Linked DNA regions of Oryzias latipes. The protein of the gene in region 1 purifies or fractionates together with the protein of each later gene. This does not show direct contact. Links are inferred from orthologs where the notes say so. Each region holds a gene or a part of one and is shown on either strand. Other genes may lie near its edges.

Region 1 (6,187 bases):
TTGCAGCTTCACAAAAATAACAATAAAAACAAAAAGATAAAAAGAAGAAGAAGAAATGGTTTATTGTGCTTTTATATGAAAACATTTTGGAAATCCTCATACTGACTGGCATCTATAATTCAATGATTTCCAGAGAAATTCTTATCCCAGATAATCAAGTTTTAAAAATACTAAAAAGTATTTGGAAGTTCTTTAGTCTGCAGGAATCCTGACTAAATGACACTGACACCTACTGGCAGAGATACGACACTACATCCCCCAAACAGAAAAGACAGAATGGTTGTGGTTTTGTCATCAGGGGGGGGGGTATTCCAGAAAGCAGGTTATGCTAGCTCCCACGGTAAGTTTGAGGCTAAGGAAGTTGATAACCTCAGCCTTAGGTTCCTGAAATGGAGGTATGTTTCAGGGTAGGTCAAGTTGCCATAGCAACTCATGCTCTGAACATAACCTGGTCTGGAGCAGGTTTAGTTGAAGGTTAGTTTGTTTACAGAGAGGGGAAGCAGCATGGCGTGTCCATTTGAAGATGATTTAGTGGATGAAGAAGCTCAGATAATACTTTTTCCACCATGAGAGGATGATAAGTTGGATAATTTATATATATTTCTCCAAGCGTTTCCATGGCGACACTGGAAATCTGCGATCTATTGAGAATGTCTTTATGTACCTGCTGTGCACGTGCATTAACCCAGGGTTACCAAGTGGAGCGTAATTACGCCAACTCATATCCGGTCTTTGGGAACCGACATACCCAGAGTAAGCAAGTTCAGGCGGATTTCAGCCAGAGTTCAGGATTAAAGTCAGGCTAGTTTAAACATGCTTCCTGGAATACCCCCCAGGTTTATTTGTTATTGGAGTCTGTTTTCATGAACATTAAATACCAAACTGATGACAGATATGATTTTCCAGCATTTTGCTTTCAAGTAAAGATGGTAACAGTAAGAGAACCGATGAAGATATGGCATAAAATCTGCTGAATGATCAACATACAGAAGTGTCAGAAAATAAGAGAAACCAATAACTTAAACAAGTGAAGACTACAGGATCATTCTGGTCACATCTAAACATCATCTAAAAACACCAATGTTCCATTTATGAGCGCTATCCCCTCACGAGTGCTTCACTTACCTTTGCGATGCCTTCAGGGTCCAGCGCGTTAACACAGGTTATGTATTCTTGCATTGCCTGCTCTGCATCCATGTCTCCAAGCTGCTTCCAGGCTTGCCTGTCAAAACATCACAATTCCCTTTTAAACATTTATTTATTAAAAACAGGACATTATGAAGATAAAGAATAAACACAAAGGTAAAAGTATGCCAGAATTTAGCCATAAGCTACATTCCATCTGAAGTCTCCGTGTTATGGAAGAAAAAAAATGGATTTGAAGAGGAAGAAATGACGCATAAGAATATCCAACACGGATAAAAGACGATAAAACGATAAAAGCATAAAACCACAGTCAATCACTGTCTGTTTAGTGATTAAATGTTCTGAATTCTGGTCAGACGTGACGACACTGAGGATTTTCAAGTCCCAGTTTGGTTTAAGGATGAGAAAATGTGTCCTTTCTCTTGTTCTAACAGATTCCAGACAGAACATTTGGTGAGGAAGACAATCATCTGATCGTCTCCTCTAACATCACCTGAAGCTCCATCTATGTTGGAATTTCAATGGAACAGAAAAATGGTTGTGTGGGAACGTCCGGCTATAGGTTCCAACCTCCTCTCCATGCAGGACCTGTAGCGGTCCGGGGTCAGGAGGTGGGCTGGTCAGATCTCAGCGGACCCAATACAGACCCCTCCCCTCAGCCGGCCTTTCAGGGCTCTTTACGCCAAAACCGCCCACCAGAGAGACAGCTTCTGCCCCCAAGCTGTGGCTCTGATCAACTCTCAGTCACTGTGTGTGAAATCTCAAACAAGAGGACTTGAAACCCGCTTTAATGCCGTGTACATCTACTCCCCCTCTTTTTCATATATTTACACCTATTTATGCGTTGATGTTTTACATAACAGCTTTAGTCACACAAGCCAGACCCCTTGCTATGCACTCATACTTGGTCAATAAAGCTGATTATTACTTACAGACCCACTCCAATGAAAATATTTTTTTTGTGTTTTTAAACATGCTCTTCTTGTGTCACGTTGGAGGACATGTTTGAATAAGATTCTGATTTAAACTGTGTTTCTGAGTTTGTCTTTGGTCAAATTGTTGTGAATCAAAACTGCCATCTGAAAAAGCTTGCGGTTGTTCCTTAGAAACTCCACTCAGCCGGCCGTAAGCTGCCTGCTCCGCATCATCCTGGCGCTGTTTTCCTGGTCTGAGCCAGTGTCCGGGTCAGAACTGGACGGCTGCACAGCTCTGACATTGCTGCCATGTTTGTTGCACCGGCAATGTTAGGTTGGGGGTGTGAGGGGCAGTAAACTAGTGGGAGAGAGTGTAAACAAAGGGATGCTGGGAAATTAAGGCAGGCTTACTCCATAGTCCAATAGTCCCGCCCACAACTCAGAGGTGAATTTCTAATGAACTCCTGCCGCCCTGCAGAGACTATGTCCTAGAAAACGACAGTTTTTGGATTTAGACTAAATTAAATTAAGAAACTACTGGGAAGGCTTCTAAAATAGATCTAAAGATGATTGAGTGGGGCTTTACTGTTGTGCATTACATTATAATCATTAAGTAACTTACCACTTTCTCTGTCCTTCAAAGTCAAAGAAACCCGGCTTAGATGTGTTGCATTTTCCAACTTTGACCTGGGAATATGGAAAAATGACGCCGGTAACATTAATATGAACAGAACTTTCAATAAAAACCAAAATATGAATGAGATTTACTATGAAAACCCGAGTTTAACCAGAGAAGGTTTTGACTTCTCAGCACAATCTATTGACTTGTGTCATTGACCTCCATTCATGCTTTGGCTACATGAGGAGGTTTAACTCCTTCGTTTAAATGTCACGACCTCTTTGAGGCTAGTGGCGGTAGAACTAGAACGTCACCGGGCGACCCGACGCCACCTGTCCCAGTGACGTCACATACCTGCTTGTAGCGGGCGTACAGGTACAGCAGCTGCTCCCTGCTCGCCGTCTGGATCAAGTCTTTAACTCGGTCGGCTGCAAAGTCGAACTCCCGCTCAAGCTCCTCGCCTTCCAACCGCTCCCCCATAGCGCCACAGTCAAGTTTACCCAAACCCAAGTCCGAGTCCGAATCCGAGCCTGCTCCGCCGAAAGGTTCCCCTGTGTCGGGCCGGGCTGGATCAGTACCAGAGCCTGTCGCAGTGTCCGGCGAGGACGACGGCGAACCAGAAGCCATTGTTTTAATGTTCAAAGAACCCGCGAGGGTGAAGCTACCGGCGACGGTTAAAAACGAGAGAGGACGATGGTTCCGGTGACCGTTTTCACATTATTTCACGGTTATTCCGTCATCGTTGAGACTCCGCGACGATGGGATTTGTTTCTACCGTTGGTCCATCTCTGGTCCTGCCAACTAAAAGCGCCGGAGTCGCATAAGGCTGCAGAATAATCGTTCCGGCTTCACTTCTACTCACATTCTCTTCAAATTGTTGAAACTAAAACATTAAAATAAAGTAAATAAATAAAATAAATATATTTTAAAGTTTACTATGGTTTCTTTTGGCGAGACAGAGATCATATTTTTGGATTATGGACGTTAATTTCTATAATATTTTGCAGTAAGCCCTTCAAATGACATCGTCATTAATGAGGTGCTATATTTTTCCTTTTTCTCTGTTTGGTCAACTAGAAAGCTGTAGAACTAACTAAGCCTAATTGTAAAACATTTGTTTAAAACGTATTTTACAAAAAGAAGCAAACAAAAACACACACAAAAATATGTAATAATGCAAGTAATTAAAAACTAAAATGAATCTTAAGGAAAAAATTAGATGCTGCATAAAATACAGATGAAACCAGGTATTAATGACTTGCCTCTTTAGAACAAAGGACCACTAACACTACTGTCCAAAAAAACAAAACAAAAAGTAAATTTAGGCTACTGAACTAAACCCTTTCTCTTTTCATAACCACAACTCCCTTTCAATTTAAGTGGATTCGCGTATTTAGCAAGGAAATTGAATTAACAGACATAACAAACCATGACTTATGAACAGTATTTCTCAAAACAAAATGCATTTACTCTGTGAAAATTCTTTTGATACAATTGATTATTTAATTTCTGAATGCATAAAAAAAAACATTTAAAAATCATATACAAAACTGGTTAAAACCAAAAATGATGTTCCCAGGCTCTATTTCTGATATGTAACATATGAAATCCTTCTACCAAACGAAAATGAAGAACTGTAATTTAATCTTCTACATTTTCTGTTCATAAACAGAGTGCTAAAAAAAAACCAATTTTCTATTTATTTTTGGTATACATGAAATGTAATTAAAGCCTTAATACACGAACAGACATATAAATAAAGGATGCTGATATAGAAAATGATGTGAATTATCCCTTGTGATGTATTAGATGACCCCCCCCCCCCCCCTTGCATTGAGGTGTTCTCCCTACCATGACAAAGGTGGATAAAGGTGGAAGGATTTCATGTAATCCATGGACACCAGTGAAGATCACAAATCATTGAAGAAAAAAGGTTCAGAGCACTGTCTAGTGGGTCTAGATGACCCCACTCCCAATGTTAACGTGCCTAGGATAGCACAAGGGTTAAAACAGGCCTATTTGGGAATGTATATGCATATTAACATTGTGCAGTTAGAGTAACCCTTAAACATATATAGTTATAATATATAACACTTATTAAAAGACTGCAAATACTGATTTGTGTGTGTGTGTGTTAATTTACTGTATGTTAAGCCATGTGCCATCTTCAATCAATAGAAAAAAATGGGAATAATAATAATAATCATAATAATAATAACCTATTTACACAATTTGTCCAGAGGAGGTCGCTATTGTACCACAAAAATGGAAGTCTTTGGCCTCGGAGGTGTTTTCCTGGACAGCCTATATCTAAATGCAGTTTAGTTGATTTCCTTTTTTTAGGCATATTACAGTAGTTACTCCTATGTTTCATTTCATATTTTAAAGAGCAGCTGTGTAATTTATTTAGTTTGAGAGTAAAAAGTAAATATTTTGCTTACACCAGCACACTTAAAGACTTAAATTATTACATATTTGATTTTAAAATGCCTGATGTTTTTTATGAAGATATTTTCACACATAACCTGTAATAAATAATAGCCGTTTTCAAATCGAACAATCAAAATGCAAACTGAATTGTCATCTAGGATTTTAAAATCAGTTGGGTGAAATCATAACTAAATCAACCAAGAAATGCATAAAAATGGAAGCTCCAACTCAATTTTTAACTTTCAAGTCATTTTAAAGGAGCCATTTGCCAACTAAAATAAGTCTGGCTAATAAAATGTAATCTTTAGGGCTTCCCAAAAAATTATTTACAATATTACGATAATTGAAAATCAATGTCATTTATTGTTTTATTGTTCTGTTTTTTTGTTATTGATAATGGCATTGAAACAAATCCATTTTAAAGCTTATAATGCTTTTAAATGGACCTGTTGTTATTATTAAAAAAACAAAGTATCATTCTATTTAAAATAAGTAGTTGTGATGGAAACATTAACATTAAACAGTTCAGTTCTGCAAAGTTTCATTTATTTTGGTAATATTGTTGCAGAAATAAACAACGGGCTCTTCAGACGCAAACGGTGAGGAAGAAGACGCTGTTTGTGTATCAACAGTTACCAGGAGGTCCCGGCAGCGCGTGCTGCCAGCGCGCGCTCTGCTGACGCAACCACGTCAGTGGAGTTGACTGCATGGCGGAGCGCAATGTCCCCAGAACTGCCCAGGGAGGCACCGAGCAAAGTCACGGGGCGACTTCCACCGTCCGCGGCCCGACCACCTGTTAGAGAGCAGCCACTGCCCCTCCAGCCCCGGCCGTGAGCGCGTGGTGTGCGGGACGGGAGCGGCTCGGAGCGCACTGAGCCTGAGGTGAAGCGGAGCGTCCGCTGACGCGCCGCAGGTTGAGCAGCAAGTTGCCTGACGGAACAAAAGTCGCGTCGACGCGGAAAAAGGACAGGCGCGCGCGGATTACGCAGAGCTTTTCGGGAAACTTTTCGCAGTAAAATGAAATTCGCGGAGCATCTGGCGTCCCACATCACTCCGGAGTGGAGGAAGCAGTACCTCC
Region 2 (6,100 bases), on another chromosome or scaffold:
TGGACATGGTCAGGAAATGATCAGCTGGTCTAAGGGGCCCAAAGTGTCCAAACTGCTCACTGGATGTGATCTCTTTTTCTGACAATTCTCTGTAAACCATAGAGATGGTTGTGGGTGAAAATCCCAGTAGATCAGGAGTTTCTGAAATACACAGCATAATAGTCACTTAACTGGCTTTTCTTCCCCGTTCTGATGCTCGGTTTGAACTGCAGCAGATCCTCTTGACCATGTCGACATGCCTATATCCATTGAGTTGCAGCCATGTGATTGGCTGATTAGCAATTTGCGTTAGCAAGCAGTTGGACAGGTGTGACTAATAAAGTGGCCAGTGAGTCTATATCTGGATAGTCTTTAGTATTTTTTGTTTTGATTGAAATAAATCAATTCCAAAGTATGTGATTTCTTAAATTAAAAAATGACATCAAAAAACACATTTTAGTGTATAAATGTGAATGAATGGGGCTGTAAAGTGGAAAATCATTCATGTTTGAGGGGAAAGTTTCACCGTAATTATGGACACAACACAATTAAAAGTTCACTAATGTTGTATATATACCAAAAAGTAAATACAAATCTGCATTTCTTATCCTCTGGTTTTTAACTTAATTTGGAAAGAAAACTTTAAGCTAATTGGTTTAAATTGTTTGATCAGTTAATTACTTTATAGCAGGTATTTAAATAAAAAAGGTATAAAATAAAATTGTTTTTTGTTTCCTTAAACCATTAAACCCTTTTTCAAGGTTTGCTTTGATCACTTTTTAAAACTTTGTTGGAACAAACCACTTTTTTTTTTTTAATTACAGTAAAACATTCTTCTTCAGCAATGGAGGATGAATTTAACAGACAGCAATCTGATAATCAGAAGACAGAACTAGGTGAAATATTTGTCCAAAGCAAATATTGTGAAAAACATTTATTTTTATCTCCTTTTCTGACTTTGAGGCTGCGGTTCATATTTTCTGAGTTAGTGCTGAGCAACTGTACAATTTTCCTACGGGGGGGGGGGGGGGGGGGGGAACTTAAATAAAATCTGAATATGTATTAATGTAAAAAAAATTAAAAAAAATAAAACTTCAGAAACCGTTTTTGTAACCACTTAAAACAAATGCAAATGCAGCATTTTGTTGCTCATTTTGTGCGTTACAACAGCTGCAGACCAAAGGTCACGAGGACACATCAGGACACAAGATGGCGTCAACCTGAAGCGGTGGTGAAACAGGAGCAGCAGGGCAGCACAAACAATAAGACTCACAACCAAAAAAAATACTCTCAACAGAAGCCCAAATGTCCAGTTTTGGTATTTATTACCGCATCTTTTTCAGGGCCTCTGAACGTGTTAAAATATTTTTTCTTATTTTGATGGGATTTTTTTTAGCTCTAAAACTTAAGAATGAGTGATTTGTTTTTATTAGCAAAAAGCATTTCCAACATTTAGGAATAAAATTAAACAGAAGATTCTAGTCTGCATGTGTTCAGGGCATAAACGCAGTCATGTCTGACATTATTTACAGGTTCTGAAGATTTTCTGGATATGCCAGCTGCGAGTGTTTTGGTGGCCAGTCATCTGTGCAAACAGATGCAGATTTGTGTACAATCAAGACAGCTTTCTGATGAAATACAGTTGTCTGCGATGAGAACTAGAATGGCTTATGGTCCGTGTGATCGGGGAGGGTGGAAAGATGCGGGCTTTCCCAGCCTCCAGGCCTGGCAGCGGTAGTGCAGCTCAGAGTTCAGAAGGTCAGAAAGTAAAAATGGGCGGTAGTTTCCTCTCCTAAGCAGGAAGTCATCAGTCCACAGTGCGTTCTTTTGCCTCATTGGTAACTCGTGCTCTCAGGGTTCAGCTGTCACTGCAGAACCAAGCCAACCTGAGACAAAAACCAACCAGAACAAGTTTTTAAATTCAAAAGTTTGCCACGTTGCTGAAAAAATTAAATAAGGTTATAGTTTCTCTGATGCCCTGTCAGATCTGTGCTCACCTGGCGTGCACTGTATGAGCCTTAATTGGTTTACCCGTGTTACTTCACCCATTTACGCTTTATTTTCTGTATTTATTTACTCATTTTAAAAGATTATTTCTTTTTTTTTCTTCCCTCTTTTAATTTTACGTATTTTCTCAACTGGTTTAATTTCTTCATTTTTTTTCTCAAACTAAATTTGCTTCGAAAGCATACATTTGACATAAAATAATGTGAATGTTTCCAATTAAAAGCCTGCAACATTTTGACAACCTTATCTGCAAAAGGATTGTTTTAATCATAATTAAACCACCACTGAAAACACTTTGAAAATAAATCAAAAGATGACCCGACTGGGACTTTAAAAAAAAAAGCAAACAGTCACTTCATGCCCATCTGCAGAAAGTGGTACGTCTAGGTCATGGTGTGAAGCTAAGACCTACCTTCTCTGGCCCCATGCTGGGACACTTCCAATTGTACAGATAATACTGTAGATTCCCATCACCGATGCCAAATTTCAACTTCTCCAAGAAAGTCTTGTTTTCCATTAAATCCAGTGCATTAAAGACATCAAAGCCTTTCTGTAAACACACACAAAAATCAGTTTCTTGTGTGCATAATCTTTAAGCAGCAGTGTTTTTTTTTTGTTTTTTTTTAAAGAAATGACGAAGAACAAACCGATTTGGCCAGAATGAGAGCATCAGACATCAAATCAAGCAGTGGGGTGGTGGTGTGCACATTGTAAAAAGAGTATGCTGCTTTGAGACTCCGGTGCACAGGATGGTTCATGATGGTGGAGGGCAGCGTGTAGAAACTCAGGAAGTCCGTCACTTTTCCATTCGACTGTCAGACGGTAAAATAAAAAAAATTAAAACAATCACACGGATCAGTGCCATAGCGGCAGAGCTAAAACCTTCTCAACAACCATTTACCTCCACAAGATAGGTGTCAACAATGTTCTCCTGGGGCAGAAACCAGTGTTCCACCTCCTCCTGGTTCATGACAGGCACAAGGTTGAACTGGCTCAGGTATTCACGGAAAAGGCGATGCACCACTGGCACATCCTTCTTGGTCATCGGTCGCAGACCAGAAGTCTTTGGAGCCTAAAGGAGGAGGGGCAAGGGAAGGGCTTGCATCTTAAAAGTTTCCTTTAACTATCTGACTACCAGAGGAAAAAAATAGCACACTCTAATTTTTTTTTTAATCTACCAAAAACTACAATTCCCAGAATCCCCCCCATTTGCATCTGACATCATTGAAAAGCCCCAAATGTCCTCTGTAGACACCAAAATGAGGTCATTTAGCAGCAGTGGTTGGGAAATATTCAGGTTATTCTTAATTTGTCCTCTACAGATTTCTGTAGAAATCTATTCCATTTCTGTGGATTTTGCTGTAAAAAAAGACAACAAAAATCTCTAATGGAATTAATTTTTTTGTTCCGTTTGAGATTTATTGTGCAACTATTGAATAGAACATTAAATAATCAGTAGAAAAAGAAAAACATCAAGCATTCCCTATAAAGTGTGCAAATCATGGAATACTAAAAAATTTTTTAAAAAAGTAATATTTACCCCAGTACCAGGTGAAAACGACCACGTGGTATTTTACATTTTAAAGATCTGATTAAAAAAGAACAAATTTCTTAGATTTGCTGCTTAATTTGTGCCACAACTAACCTCGGGCAGGCGGTAAAGCTTCATTGTGCGCTGCATAGTCATGTTCCTGCTCAGATGGGAGAACTTGACCTCAATTAGTTTCCGTGGGTTCAAGGAGCGATGCCAGTACCTTTGCAAATGAAAAATGGCAAAAATAAACTCAGGAACATCATGAGGAAGAAAAAGTTGCTTCTCCATGACAAACCTGCAGGTGCCTACAGGTTTGGGCAGCACGACTCCGGCTGTGTACACAGCCTGGAAGATGCCCTGCAAATTGACCCTTCTAGTGATCTCTCTGATCAGAACTGGAGCGACCCGTTTGGAGCGAAGCTTCTTGTGGACACAAAGGAAGTTGATCTCAACCATTTTCTTTTCTCTAGAGCAAAAAAAAAAGAAAGAAAAAATATTTTAAACAAAACATTTTAGACAATTTCTCATGTTTAAACAGTCCCACAACTCATTCAGACAAAAATGGGAGGTGTGATAGAAATATTGACATTCATTCAGGTCAAGATTTCATCTCTTTACATATCGTAGATGCGAATGTTGGCTGGAATGGCGCTGATGAATCCCACAAGCTTCTGGTTGGAGTTCACCCTCACACCACAATGCCACTGTGGCAACCAGCCTGGAGGTCGCAGCGCCCTGAGAAACACAGCAGCCAGTCACCTTCACAGAACGTCCATCTGCTCTTTGTTATAAACACACCTATTTTTAAAATTATGTTGGATCTTTTTTAAAGGCAAAATGATAAATTAGGAAAAGTTACCAGAGAAGAAACTCAGGAGAGTAGTCAAATCTGAACATGTTGTCATCGTCTTCCACATAGTTCTCATTGAGAAGAGTGTAAAGCTCCTTAAGCTGTTTTAGAGAAGCACAAGGGAGCAGTTAACCGTTTCAGATTCAGAAAATCCCTTCTGAAAGAGAAGACTTGAATCTGAAAGTTACATTTTTTTAACCCACGTAGATACTAAAAGCTCTGAGAGTTTAAGATGTGCAGCCTATGATATATAAGCTCTTGCATTGTCTAAATAAAAGATCAAGTTTAACATATTTCGGCAGTTTAACGGCAAAAATATCCAAGTTGCTTAAAAAAATGAAAGCATAGATTGAATCTAAATGGATTAATATTATTAAAAGTAATAATATGAACTGTAGATTATTATTTTAATTGAAAAGGATTGAATGCCCAGGTATTGTTTCATATGTCATTCAACCTCTCGTACCACAGCGGGATCCCCCAGGTCGAGGGTGTCCCAGCTGAAGCCCTGCGGGAGGCTGTAGGGCTCCTCTCGAATGGCGTCCTTATCAGGTTCAATAGAGCCATGAGACGTCACCGTCTCCCCTGTGAAGTCAAAATAACACGCCACATTATGACATATGTCTCGCTTGACCTTAAGTTCTGAAACCTCTGATGTTTCTCACACCTAGCTTGGGAACGGGCTGCGTGTCCCAGAACTGGTAACTTCTCCGAGTGGCTTCCTCCATGGTCTTGGCTGGACCTTGGCCCACAGAGAAGAGTTCGATGGCCTTTTGGATCTCCTGTAGCTTATCAGCTGGCAATGAATTCACCTGTTTTTGAAGACCAAATAAAAAGATCTTTATTAAATTAAATGAAAAGAGGGGAGCAGCAGACAGAGAAGCTTACGACATTCAAAATGAGATCTACTTTTTATCCAAGATTAAATGAACCTTCCACATAAAATTTGATCTTAAAGACCCACTCCAATCATCTTATGATCTAATGTTAGAGCCTTCCCAGTGGTCTTTCAATTATGATTAAAAAACTTTCATTTTCTATAACGTAGTTTCTGTAGAGCGGCAGTAGTTCATTAGAAATTCACCTCTAAGTCGTGAGCGTGACCACTGGCACCGAGTAAGCCCGAGTCATCCATCTGTTTAGACGCTGTCCTGCTTGCCTACAGCCCCTCACACACCCAACCTAACATTAATGGTGCAACAAAAATGGCGAGCAATACCTGAGCTATCCTGCCGTACGGTTTTGAGCCAGATGCCAGCACAGACGAGGAAAACAAAGACGTTCGTGGATTTATTCGTCTACAAGTGGATGCATCAGAATGGAGCGGAGCAGGGAGCCTATAGCTCACTCAGCATATCTTCTACATCACAAATGCTCTCTTTTTGAAAATGTTGCTTTTTTCTGCTTGTTATAATGAATAAAATAATTTTCTTTTCTAATTCATTTTCTTAAGAAACGATCTCCATCTTCAGAAAAAAAAACAAAAAACACAAGAACATGTTAAAAACATAGTTTTCATCAGAGTGAGTCATATTTAAACAAACATTACTTTCTTTCTTTTGGATCATTACTTTTGAAACTAAAATTAAAAAAAAAAAAAAAGTGATTTCACTCTTGCCTTTGCAAGTGGGTCCTGAGTTGCTTCGGTGGCACCAGATTTCTTCTTCTTTTTCTGTTTCTTTTTCTTCTTCTTGGTGCCGGTGTCGTCACCCAAACCCCGATCGCTGGAA

What was found.
Region 2: the proteins of acbd6 (region 1) and glycylpeptide N-tetradecanoyltransferase 1 purify together in Homo sapiens (co-immunoprecipitation; 3 studies listed by BioGRID and IntAct, with this or other methods). This does not show direct contact. The link is inferred for Oryzias latipes from reciprocal best matches to the Homo sapiens genes ACBD6 and NMT1.

The regions. Positions count from the first base shown.
Region 1 is NC_019862.2:32,235,405-32,241,591, forward strand, and holds the start of acbd6 (acyl-CoA-binding domain-containing protein 6), read right to left. Parts: upstream 3,493-6,187; 5' UTR 3,307-3,492; coding exon 3,034-3,306; intron 2,748-3,033; coding exon 2,683-2,747; intron 1,223-2,682; coding exon 1,126-1,222; intron 1-1,125. UniProt on the Homo sapiens protein: Binds long-chain acyl-coenzyme A molecules with a strong preference for unsaturated C18:1-CoA, lower affinity for unsaturated C20:4-CoA, and very weak affinity for saturated C16:0-CoA. Does not bind fatty acids. Plays a role in protein N-myristoylation.
Region 2 is NC_019866.2:5,207,703-5,213,802, forward strand, and holds the end of glycylpeptide N-tetradecanoyltransferase 1, read right to left. Parts: intron 6,095-6,100; coding exon 5,989-6,094; intron 5,530-5,988; coding exon 5,455-5,529; intron 5,183-5,454; coding exon 5,038-5,182; intron 4,956-5,037; coding exon 4,837-4,955; intron 4,472-4,836; coding exon 4,380-4,471; intron 4,256-4,379; coding exon 4,139-4,255; intron 3,987-4,138; coding exon 3,816-3,986; intron 3,741-3,815; coding exon 3,632-3,740; intron 3,059-3,631; coding exon 2,888-3,058; intron 2,799-2,887; coding exon 2,634-2,798; intron 2,537-2,633; coding exon 2,399-2,536; intron 1,866-2,398; coding exon 1,845-1,865; 3' UTR 1,286-1,844; downstream 1-1,285.